Linked DNA regions of Schizosaccharomyces pombe. The protein of the gene in region 2 purifies or fractionates together with the protein of the main gene of each other region. This does not show direct contact. Each region holds a gene or a part of one and is shown on either strand. Other genes may lie near its edges.

Region 1 (5,149 bases), on a different chromosome or scaffold from region 2:
CCTTTATTGAATACTTTGGTAGGAGGATGAAACAAATGACCATAAGTCTGAATTGCAATAGGAATAATGGGTACTTGAGCCTGTACAGCAAGGTGAAATGCGCCCTTTTTCAAGGGAAGAAGACAGGGCTTAAGGCTATAGGAACGAGTGCCTTCTGCAAATACCCAAATAGAAATATTTTCTTTGCGCATTCTTCGTGCCGCTTTCGCAAAAAGTTGAATCGCATCACTTCGGCGAGACCTATCGATAAATACAACGTCAGACAATATCATAAACCATCCCAAAATGGGCACATATCTTAGAGACTTTTTAGCAATAACAGAATAATTAGGGCCAAAAGTCCTTCCTATAGCCAAAATATCCAATTCACTAATTAAAATTGTAAGTCAGTTATTTTTTATCATAAAGAAGTATATTTTGAGGTATGCTTACGATTGATGATTAACTACTAAGACAGCAGACTTATGTTTTCTCAAAATTTCCTCGTTTTCGATTTTAAACCGAAAGTCAAGGATTGTACTAGCCAGTCCATAATATGCCTTTGCAGTTAAATATTGTCCCATTACGGGATAACCACATAAACGTGCAACAACTGAGGCTATAACCCCATAAGCAGAACTAATAGCTAAAAATGTGTGACATGCGAAATAGCGAAAGTGATATCTAATACATTTCGGGAGAGTAAAAAATCGGTTGATTCCGCACAAACCAACAAATACTGTCACAGTAGCAAGCAGCGTGCTCTTAATAAAACCCATTTCGAATATGTACACAGTAGAGAAGAGCAAACTTTCAACAACCCTTCCTTTCGTTTTAAAGTATGGTTGGTGCGGTGATAGTAACGTTGGTGATTCGTAATAAAAATGAATGGCCTGAGGACATTTCATTAATTGCACACTTTAAACTTAAGTTATACCCACGGTGATTTTATACACAATTTTTTTTATCATTGGTTATTAATGATATCTATTATACCTTTATTTTAATATATAACTTCTAAACGAAAATCATCATTTTTAAACCTAACCAGAATGAAGACGTAAACATTCTAACTCATTAACTTATTCATTCGACAATTTTTTGGCATCCCTAAAATACAAGACATAATTTCTTAAGTTTCCAGATTCCTATAAATTTCACCTGTTTCAGTTAACAAATTTTCTTCGGGAATATCCAGATTTTCAATCGATTCCTTAATAATATGCGTAGCCTTGCCGTCTAAGTTCCATGCTATAGTGAAGTGCTTTAAGGCTAAATTTTTTTTCCGCATTTGCTTGAAAATTTTGCCGAGCAAAAAATGAACATTTGCTTCATCTGGCGCAATTGCCTTTAATTGTTCCAATTCAACGAGTGCTTTATCGTGATCATGTAATAAAATAAGCACTTTGGCTTTCTTGAACCTGGCAAGCGAAGACTTTTCATCCAGTTTACATGCCCGATCATAAAAATCAAGTGCTTTTTTGTAATCTTTGCAGCGTTCGTAAATCATACCAATACAAGTGATGAGTACAGAGTTGTTAGGATTGATCTCTGCAGCACGTTGAAAATGAAAGTCTGCTTGATCATTTCGCCCTGTTTTTAAATAAACCATTCCCAGGCCATACCATGCATTGTAATGTCGAACATTTACTCTAATTGCTTTGCGGAAAGATGTTTTCGATTTTTCGTATTCTTCGTTTGCAGAATGCTCGTGCCCTTGAAGCGTATAAGCATATTCAAAAGTTGGATCCAATTGAATAGCTCTATTAATACATTTTAATGCCTGCGAGTGTTCACGTTGAAGTGAGAAGCAATTAGCAAGAATGCACCATGATTCTGGGGAATAAGGATTAGTTTCCAAAGTTTCATGGGCAAGGTAAGATAAAGGAACAGACTTTTGCAAATGCCAAAGTGCAGTTGAAAAGACTTCCATATCTTTGACACGTGAAGGCGACAAGTCCCTTAATTTTTGAAACACTTCTTCAGATTTTTCGTAATCAACCAGTTCAAAGTAGGTTATTCCAAGCTTTGCAAGAACAAAAGGTGTATTTTGCTGTTCGATGGGCAAGCTTTGGAAACAATTTAAAGCCTCTCGTAACTTATACTGGGCGAGCAGGTAAACACCCTTACCGAATAACTTTAGTAATTCCATCAAATTATTGTCCTCTTCGCGGAAGCTTTGAGGTGTGCTCTCTCCTCTTTTAGAACTTCTCGCTTCGCGTAATTTATATGTTAAACGAGCTCCTGGTCTTAATGCTTGGGTTCTAGGTTCCACAAAGTGGGATTTTAAAGACGTATCCCTATTGTTAGAATCAGCTTTTTGAGCATCATTGAAAGCCAAAAGGTTTTTGCTAGTCTGAGATTGAGATTGTAATTTCAAGCTTTGATGTCGTTCCTTCTCACTTCCTGGAAGCTCAGAAGCGTCAACCCTATCAAACCACTTAGTAAATGCTGAAATGGATGAGTTTGAATAACTATTTGCTATCGATTCAGAAACCGAAAACTTGTTGGAAGATGAGGAAGACTCTTTACTTTTCTTCAAAAAAGACGGTTCTGGTACCGAAGCTGTAGCATTCGTTTGAGATTTTTCAAAACCCTTCATTGCCGTAAGGTAGGGTGGAATAACAAATACATTATTAGCATCGAGTGGCACGCCTATTCAGCAAAATATATTAGCACAATTATAGAAATAAACGAAAATAAGTATTTTTTTTTGACAAAAGTGAATTTACTAATTCACAACAAAACATCTGTCACATACCTATTGCAGTTAAATTCTGGAAAGCAGAGAAATTATATGGGTTAATGGAGACAGCTTCTACAAAACAATCTGTAGCTTTTTTGAGGAACCCTGCCTTTTTATACATAGTACCCAAAACATCAAGCATGCAAGAGGCATCTGGATGTCCACGACTGCTAATTGAGTCATTTACTAGATAACTTAGTTAGAGGTTTCGCGAAATAAATCACCACATACTGTTTGGCTGAATGGAGCGCCAATTCGATCGACAGGCCTCCACAGCACTTATTCCTTGTTTATATCTGCCTAAAATAAGGCTGGTCCTTGCAAATAAGTATGTGCAAGGAACATGACTAATTACTCTATCTAATAAGTCGTATACAATATTGTAATCGAGGTTTAGGAAATGCGAATATGCCAAAAGATACAAACTCTCGTTTGAATCTTCAATTGCATGTAAACGTTCTGAATAAAAAATTGAATTATCATAATTCTGATTATCAATGCAATACCATATTAAACATTTCAATCGATCTGTCATGACAAATCTATTAAAGTTTTGGAAACGATGGGAGTTAATGTCAACAAAAACATGTGGGTACAAACAGGTGGTTGTTATTGTTTGAGCTCCATCGTTAAGATATGTTAAATCTTATAAAGCAATGTAGCATTTTAGTAAAAAAAACATATAAACAAAAATAGGTAAATCATCTGGATGGTGTATAGAGTTGTGTAAACTCTGATAAATCCAAAAAGAGTTTGGGTAAATTATCAGAGAATAAAAAAACACTACTAATGCAACTCGATCCAAGCATTAAGGGAGACAGGCAAAGGAGGCATCACGGTCTAAAACAATGCGATGATACATGTTAATAAAAAAAAATTACAAGTCGTTCAATGTCTCCCAATTTAGATCCATTATTACGCAGTCTTGTGGAAAGGCGACACTGACGTAAAAAGTACTAGAGTGAAGTATTAGTTTATGAATTTCCAAGTCCCAAGAATATCCTGAATACACTGCAGTTGCTGCTCTTCTTAAAGACACTTCCTCGGAATTTAACAGCTCATTTAATTTATGAAATGTTACCACAATATCCAAAGGGTTTCCACTTAATCCGATACCGAGTGCTTTCAAAATCGCTTCTTTGCAAGTCCAGAGCAAAAAAAAAACATCAATACTAGAAATTGAACTTTTAATCAACTTCCATTCGCAAGGAGTAAATACACTCATGAAATCTTCCATCCATGATGCTTCAAAAGCTAACGGTTTACATTCGACGATGTCAACTCCAATATTGATCGGTCGCATTCCTGAAGGATCTGATGGAAGCCATGCTCCTACTACAATTACGATTCCCCCATAGTGGGATACATTAAAGTCAAATATAATAGGAGGACAGTGTGCTGATTGGCAATACGGTCTCCCGGCTTTTGTGACAGAAATTTGTACTTCATTTGGTGAACATTCGAGAGCCGTGGAGACTAAGTGCCTTTTAATAAGTATAGAAGCCAATGCCATTTTAGCATCCATGTCGAAATAGTACCTCTCAATTTGTTGTCGCTCAGAATCGCTCAGTTTTTTAAAACTGGGTATCCTCTAACGTATTAGAAAAATTGTTTAGATAAAACTAAAAACATACAGTTCTTTCAAAAGGCCATGCTTCTTGAGTATCTATTAATAACCTATATACTTTTTGTTTCATATATTGCTATTTAAATCGAATGAAATACTCTTCAATGAGAAACTACAATAAACAATGCCAGAATTTCCAGGAAACACAAAAACAAGAATCACTCATAAACTCGAAACCAACCAGAAGAAGAGTATAATTTCGTTAGAAGGCAATCAAGATAATTTCTACCAATAAATAGTAACATGAATTATGAAGCGTGACATTAACGCAAGTCGACAGTACTTTCCGAAAAAATATATTTTTTGTTCTACCTTGGAGAACAGCTTTTCTTTAATTTGCGAATATCTATTAACAGTCATAAAACGTGTTTATCGCAGAAGATTTAATTTCGTTAAATTTACTGATAGAACGTAAGCGGCACAATTTGAAGAGTTTGCTGCTTCGTTCTATTGCTTCTCTTGACCACCACCACTAACCCAACCACTTCAGTTGAAAATTTATTATCAACTCATCTGGAGGGTATTTTAATATTTAACGGAATACAGAACGTTACATTTGTTTGTCTTGTTCCGTTCCAATAATAATCTATAATTGGTGTTCTTTCTTTCAGTAGAAATAGGAAGAAAAGAACTCGGTTGTTGTATATAAAACAAACGAACTAATTTAAGGTTTTAATATTCGGTGGTCTCTTCAGTTTTATTACTTTGAATAATTGTAGATAAACGAAGAGTATAATGTCTTCAAAACCACCGTCAAATACTCCAAAGTTTAGTTATGCTCGTGCCTTGGCCAGCAG
Region 2 (5,500 bases):
TCCCTTATACCGCAGTGCTTGTGAGCAACTTACCTTTCCTGCAACGTCCATATTAAAAAACCTTTCATTGCTCATAAAATGCATTCCATCTGGTGGAGATGGTAATGTAGGTGCTTGCCAAACTAAAAACAAGGAACCATCTGGTGGTTGATCTATGAGAGTCCAAGAAAATGAAATCTAAAATTTGTTAGAAAAAACATATATTGAAGTCTTCTAAAAACTACCTGTGGTAAAGCCTGGGACGCTTTTGTTAATATATCTACGACAGCAGGGATTGGTAATTGTGGTGCTGGTGGATATGGTAAATTCGCTCGACACCATACCTGAGATCGGTATTCCACTGGAATCGATAATAGACTCTGAGCTGCCATTGTAGCCGCCATTGTTGATTTTAATTATATGTAAGTTTTGGATGGTACAACTTACTCATATCTATCAAGATGCAGAAGTTTTGGCTTTGTTCTGTTGCACTATTTCATATAACGATGTTACATCAGTTTTCACTGTTTAAATGAAATTTCTAATATTTACAGTATCTATACGAAACTCTAGGTAATGTATAAACATACTCTAGTGTCTCTGTGTTCATTACAACTATCTTGATCAGATCCGTTTAACCATCGTAGAATCGTAAATAGCTAAACAAGAGCATGAATGTAAAGACATACTTAAATAGTAACAGTTAGCTGCTAATCATTAGTAGACAATATGCCAATAGACATGCAATGTATAAGTGATGGTTTTCGTAAAATTAAATGAGATGTCCATAAAAAAGTTCATAAAAATCCCAAGGCTTTTCTTAACAGACAAAGGATTCTATAGCCATTAATTATTTGAGCTTATAAGCTCCTCCAGTAAACTCCAACTTTTCCTCTTTGATCATTAATGCTAGAAATTCTCTTAGCTCGCTCTGGGTACGAGTATAGCCGTTTGGCGGTGGGATAAACATCGTGAGCATGTTGTGAATTCGTTCAAGCTCAAGAGCTCCAAGGTTCGTCAACATTCCTACAACAAAAGACCTTTTTTTATTAATTACAAATTTTAGTTTTAATAAAGAAACATACCAGTAAACACGCATCTCAGCGGCACTGCTTTCGGCTTCACTTTGAACAGCTGATACCCCTTGGATTTCATCAAGTACAGTTTCTGTCGCGGTTTCGGCTTCAGTTTCACGAACACGATATCGGTCGTCGCCGATGTCGGTAAGCACTCGATGATGAAGCCAAAATTTCAAATGTCGCTCAACTATTTCTTTCGGCTGATCTAAAAGTTCAGCAGCTTTCTCAATATGTAATGTAGAAGTCTCTTCAAAAAGTGATATAAAGGCAGCTTGCTCCGGTGTAACTGTCAACGTGAGTGTTCTATCCTCAAGCTCAATTTCCAACTCTACCGATCCTAAGTTGGGTAAAAAAACAAGCTCCCTTTTTCTCTTTCTTTCTCTGTATTCTTCAGCATATGCATCGAGTTCTTTTTTCAGAGGGCCAGGTAAATGAAAATATCGAACAGACAAAGTAGGCCAAAATAATCTTGATAAAATAGTTACGTGCAAACCTTTCGAAACATAGTTCTCCATGTGGATGCTCTGATCAATAAATCTTGAATTCTCAATATCGTTCAGCATAACACTACACATTTGCAGAACAGTCTCTCCAAATCGATACTTTAAAAACTCTATATTTTTTGCCTAAAAAACGTTAGAAAATTCAACTTAAATAGAATAAAACAAACCTCAACTTCATAATGATAATCTGTAAGTTGTAAAAGTCGATCAGCTAGTAACAATTGTAATTCCTTCACTAAGGGCTCCTTGCTTTTAAAAATGGAAATGAGACTTCCAACAACGTCTCTATCGGTTGGTTTTTTAAAGTCAGGAGCCGCATCAATCGGATCCGGCATCCAGTGGTAATTATCAAATCGATCCGTTGTTGAGTCGATGTTTTCAGTGGGAATTTGAGAAAGCTCAGAGCGTAGGCCTTTTTCACCGTCAACAAACAATAAGGAAACCAAGCATTTATATGCATCTTCTCGTTCATTTAGAAAAGAACGAATGGGTTTGGCAGCTTTGTCTAAAAGAACACCAGGGGGGTCTAATGCAACAAAACAACGAATGGTAGAGACATAGAACAAAAGAATATAGGAGCTATCACTGCTAGCGGTCAAAATACTACTTGTACAATCTTTCACAAAAGTTTCGGTTAAATATTGACGTTGCTGTTTTTGACGGGCAACTAAACGCAAGTCTTCAATTGCGCCTAGTGAATTGGGGTAATGAAGAACAATATCAAGAATGTTGTCTGATCGCAAATGAGCAAGTATTTGAGAAACAAGATGGTCTAACTGAACCAAAACCGCTGGATTCGACAATGAAAATACATGTTCAACAAGAACCCCAAATTCGGTGCGAATCCACTCCAATGCTTCATGGTAAACACTCTGCTCCCAAGACATCGCATACCGTGTTGTTAAAAGAGAGCCGACATGCAACTGCAATACATATACAAACCTTTCTTTTAACACAGAAGACAGCCCCAGCTGCTTAAATTTTTCACACAATTGAAAAAATTTCTCCATATCCAAACAAGGATTCGTTTTACTCTCTAACCATACTTTTAAAACTTGATCCAGATATTCTGTTAGAACGCTTTCAATCACCGAAATGGGCAAGTACCTTCTACAAAGGCAACGGAAGCATGTAAGGATTCGGTCGAGTTCAGGACTTAAAATAGGACTTTCTAAGACACTCTGTTCGTAAACAAGCCAAAAGTCACTTAGTTGGTCCGTTAAGTCGTGTAGACTGCATATGTTTTTTAAATCAATCTTTAAGAGATTTTGGCGAATAGTGGTATAGAAATGAATTCTCAACTTGTCAATAAAATCCAATACTGGTGTTCCCTGTGTGACTGAGCTCAATTGATCGATCAACAACGAACGGCCAGTAAAGGTGGACAGATCAGTATCATTCATTATGCTTTTAATTTTTTCTGATAAATACTTTAATCTTAAAATAAATGAATTCAAGCAACTACAAATAATCGATACCAAATCGACAAGTCCTTTCTACGTAGTCCGATAACACAAAGTAATGTTTTCAAAAGAAAAAGGAATTAAAAATTGAAGATTTCAAGACAAATGATTGAAGGAACACTCACTTTTCCTACTAGTATATCTTCTGGTGGTATTGTTTACATTTGGTAGAAGAAGACCTTGCAATTGTTAGTGTGAATGCGATGAATAGCAAACTGCCTTCCACATCACAACCACAACAAGAAACTTAAAAGGAATTCAATTTTTGAAAAGACGGTATCTAAAGAAAATCATATACCAATGAATAACATAACGAAATTAATGAAACAAAAGAATATTTTGACACCTCCTTTGCCTCTGTACCGAAGGGTGTTGAGAGCGCATCGCTATCACCTAGGAGCAGAAGAACGAGCTTTAGGAGATGAATATGTAAAGGCGGAATTTCGAAGACATCGGAACGTAACAAATCCTTTGCATTTAGTAGGATTTTTAAGCTCGTGGGAGAGGTATGCGGATGCACTAGAAAACGAGAGCTGGAAACAGGAAAAATACAGTAATACGGATCTACTAGAATCTTTAAATGACCAGCAAATCGGACAGGTAAGAAAACTTATATTAGATTGAGGTTTATTATTAAAAGAAGAGAACTTTTACCAGTGCTCTTGAACTTATTGCTTCTTTTTTTGGACCTATAGTTTCTAACTATTATTGGCAGTTGTACGAGCTCTCAAAAGCTCTTCAGGAACAGAAAAAGTCTGAGTAGTGGTCGCGGAATCTGATTCTTTATCAGACATCTCTTTGTTATTAGAAGGATTTTGATTGTTTGAGTTGTCGTCATTTTTATTGGCACTTTGAGACGACATCTGCAAATCGTTATTAACTCGAGCATGTGCAAGCTCAACCAAAAACCTATAAAGTTGTTAATGAATGATCTGGACTACTCGTAAAAAAGTGAACGAGATGTTCAACTTCCTCATGGATAAACGTACCATGTTAGCGACAGCCACAAACAGATTGCCAGGAAAAATAAGATGAGACAATGAATACTTTTTGTACCTATATAAAGTCCAAGAAAAACAGCGACAAGTGCACCACAGGCTACGTGTGCTGACTTAGCCAATACAGGTGTGACACCTGGTGTGAAAATTGATTCCCATAGTTCCACCCAATACGACATGATCTTTTTCTTATTGGAATACTACTTGGAAATGTAGTAGCTATGAATTGACGTTGTTAAACCACCGTTTGTGTTCTAGCGATAAAATCTGGCCTTTATAGTGTGCGTGTGCTATTGAATTAATTTAGCAACGAGACCGATGTTGGAGTTCATTAAAAGTTAAAATGGATTTCAAGAAATCCATATCTTATACTACTATTAAAACCGAAGGTTATGCTTCCATTTGTCCAAATTTATTGTTAATAGAGCTTTGAATCATTCAAATGGAATAGTGCTCTACTTTTGTTTTGCTATATTAAAAATTTTTTGTCAGCTTCTTGTGGTCGTGGAGAAAATAATTAAATGATCAAAACAAATGTTATTTTTCGGCTTAGCTCTTCTAAATTACTGTTTTATTATCATTTTAATGAGACACGCTGAAGCTCTGATTAAAATTGATAGCAAAGTTTGAACAGCTTTAATGATGATTTTCGTTCAGTTTAAAGAAGGGGCTTTTTAACTACTATAGAATTACGAGAATCTTTTTGAACGGTTCCATCTCATTTGTTATTCTTCATTATCCATAGTTTCAAACTATGTTTTATGCGATTATCGCATAACAGGGCATGTTTATACTAGCTCAAATTTATTCAAAATCTCCCATTTTAGTAATATCATTGATCAATTATTATTTAATTCCATTTAAAATTGCTTATTTATTGATTATTCCAATTTTTTGAATGAATAAACCTAAGGCGTTTTAACAATCTCAGTGAATGGCGTAACGAAGGTTATCGAAGAGTTTCACGGGAGCTGTGTGAAGTTGCTTTTGGCACGCTACTCGAAGATTTCTGTAAAAGAGATATAAAGAATCCTTTTTAAGGGTTTTTAAAAGAACAAAACTTATGTTTATTACGAAATTTAGTTTTGGTAAAGGATCGGCTAATTAAAGGCGCTATTACACGAAATTCCTAACTCCTCCAATTGAGGATGGAACCGCCTGCGATTCCACACATTACAGAAGGATTTTATCCTCTTCCTGAGATAGTAGAAACTTTTAGTCATCATGTGTTACAAGAATTGGTGTCTTTAGCCGAAGTTCTACCCTCTATGTCAAATGTCGAGAAAAAGAAAAAGATCTTAGATTGGTTATTACGTTCGCGCGCTTTCACTATGCGTTTGCTAGTTTTAGCGCGTTGGGTACATCTATCTCCTTCAGTTCATCGATGCATAGATGTTGTAGCCTTTCTTCAAGGTCAAAAATTTTGCTTCCAGAATTTAGTTCATGTGTTACAAGATATTCGTTACCAGTTGTCATTT

Evidence for each region.
Region 1: the proteins of apc2 (region 2) and nuc2 purify together in Schizosaccharomyces pombe (affinity purification with western blotting, with the first as the bait; one study listed by BioGRID). This does not show direct contact.

The regions. Positions count from the first base shown.
Region 1 is NC_003424.3:4,496,243-4,501,391, reverse strand, and holds nuc2 (anaphase-promoting complex TPR lobe subcomplex subunit Apc3), read right to left. Parts: upstream 3,297-5,149; 5' UTR 3,261-3,296; coding exon 2,957-3,260; intron 2,912-2,956; coding exon 2,741-2,911; intron 2,635-2,740; coding exon 1,112-2,634; 3' UTR 811-1,111; downstream 1-810. Other genes in the region: 1-acylglycerol-3-phosphate O-acyltransferase Slc1, read right to left, coding at 1-369, 433-758; alpha-aminoadipate reductase phosphopantetheinyl transferase Lys7, read right to left, coding at 3,603-4,316, 4,360-4,422; tif471 (translation initiation factor eIF4G), read left to right, coding at 5,088-5,149. UniProt on the Schizosaccharomyces pombe protein: Component of the anaphase-promoting complex/cyclosome (APC/C), a cell cycle-regulated E3 ubiquitin-protein ligase complex that controls progression through mitosis and the G1 phase of the cell cycle.
Region 2 is NC_003423.3:1,998,599-2,004,098, reverse strand, and holds apc2 (anaphase-promoting complex cullin family subunit Apc2), read right to left. Parts: upstream 3,191-5,500; 5' UTR 2,965-3,190; coding exon 1,729-2,964; intron 1,685-1,728; coding exon 1,065-1,684; intron 1,020-1,064; coding exon 830-1,019; 3' UTR 501-829; downstream 1-500. Other genes in the region: SWI/SNF and RSC complex subunit Ssr4, read right to left, coding at 34-177, 225-383; sdh7 (ACN9 family protein), read left to right, coding at 3,325-3,624, 3,740-3,787; V-ATPase assembly factor Pkr1, read right to left, coding at 3,723-3,933, 4,014-4,201; mediator complex subunit Med14, read left to right, coding at 5,171-5,500. UniProt on the Schizosaccharomyces pombe protein: Component of the anaphase-promoting complex/cyclosome (APC/C), a cell cycle-regulated E3 ubiquitin-protein ligase complex that controls progression through mitosis and the G1 phase of the cell cycle.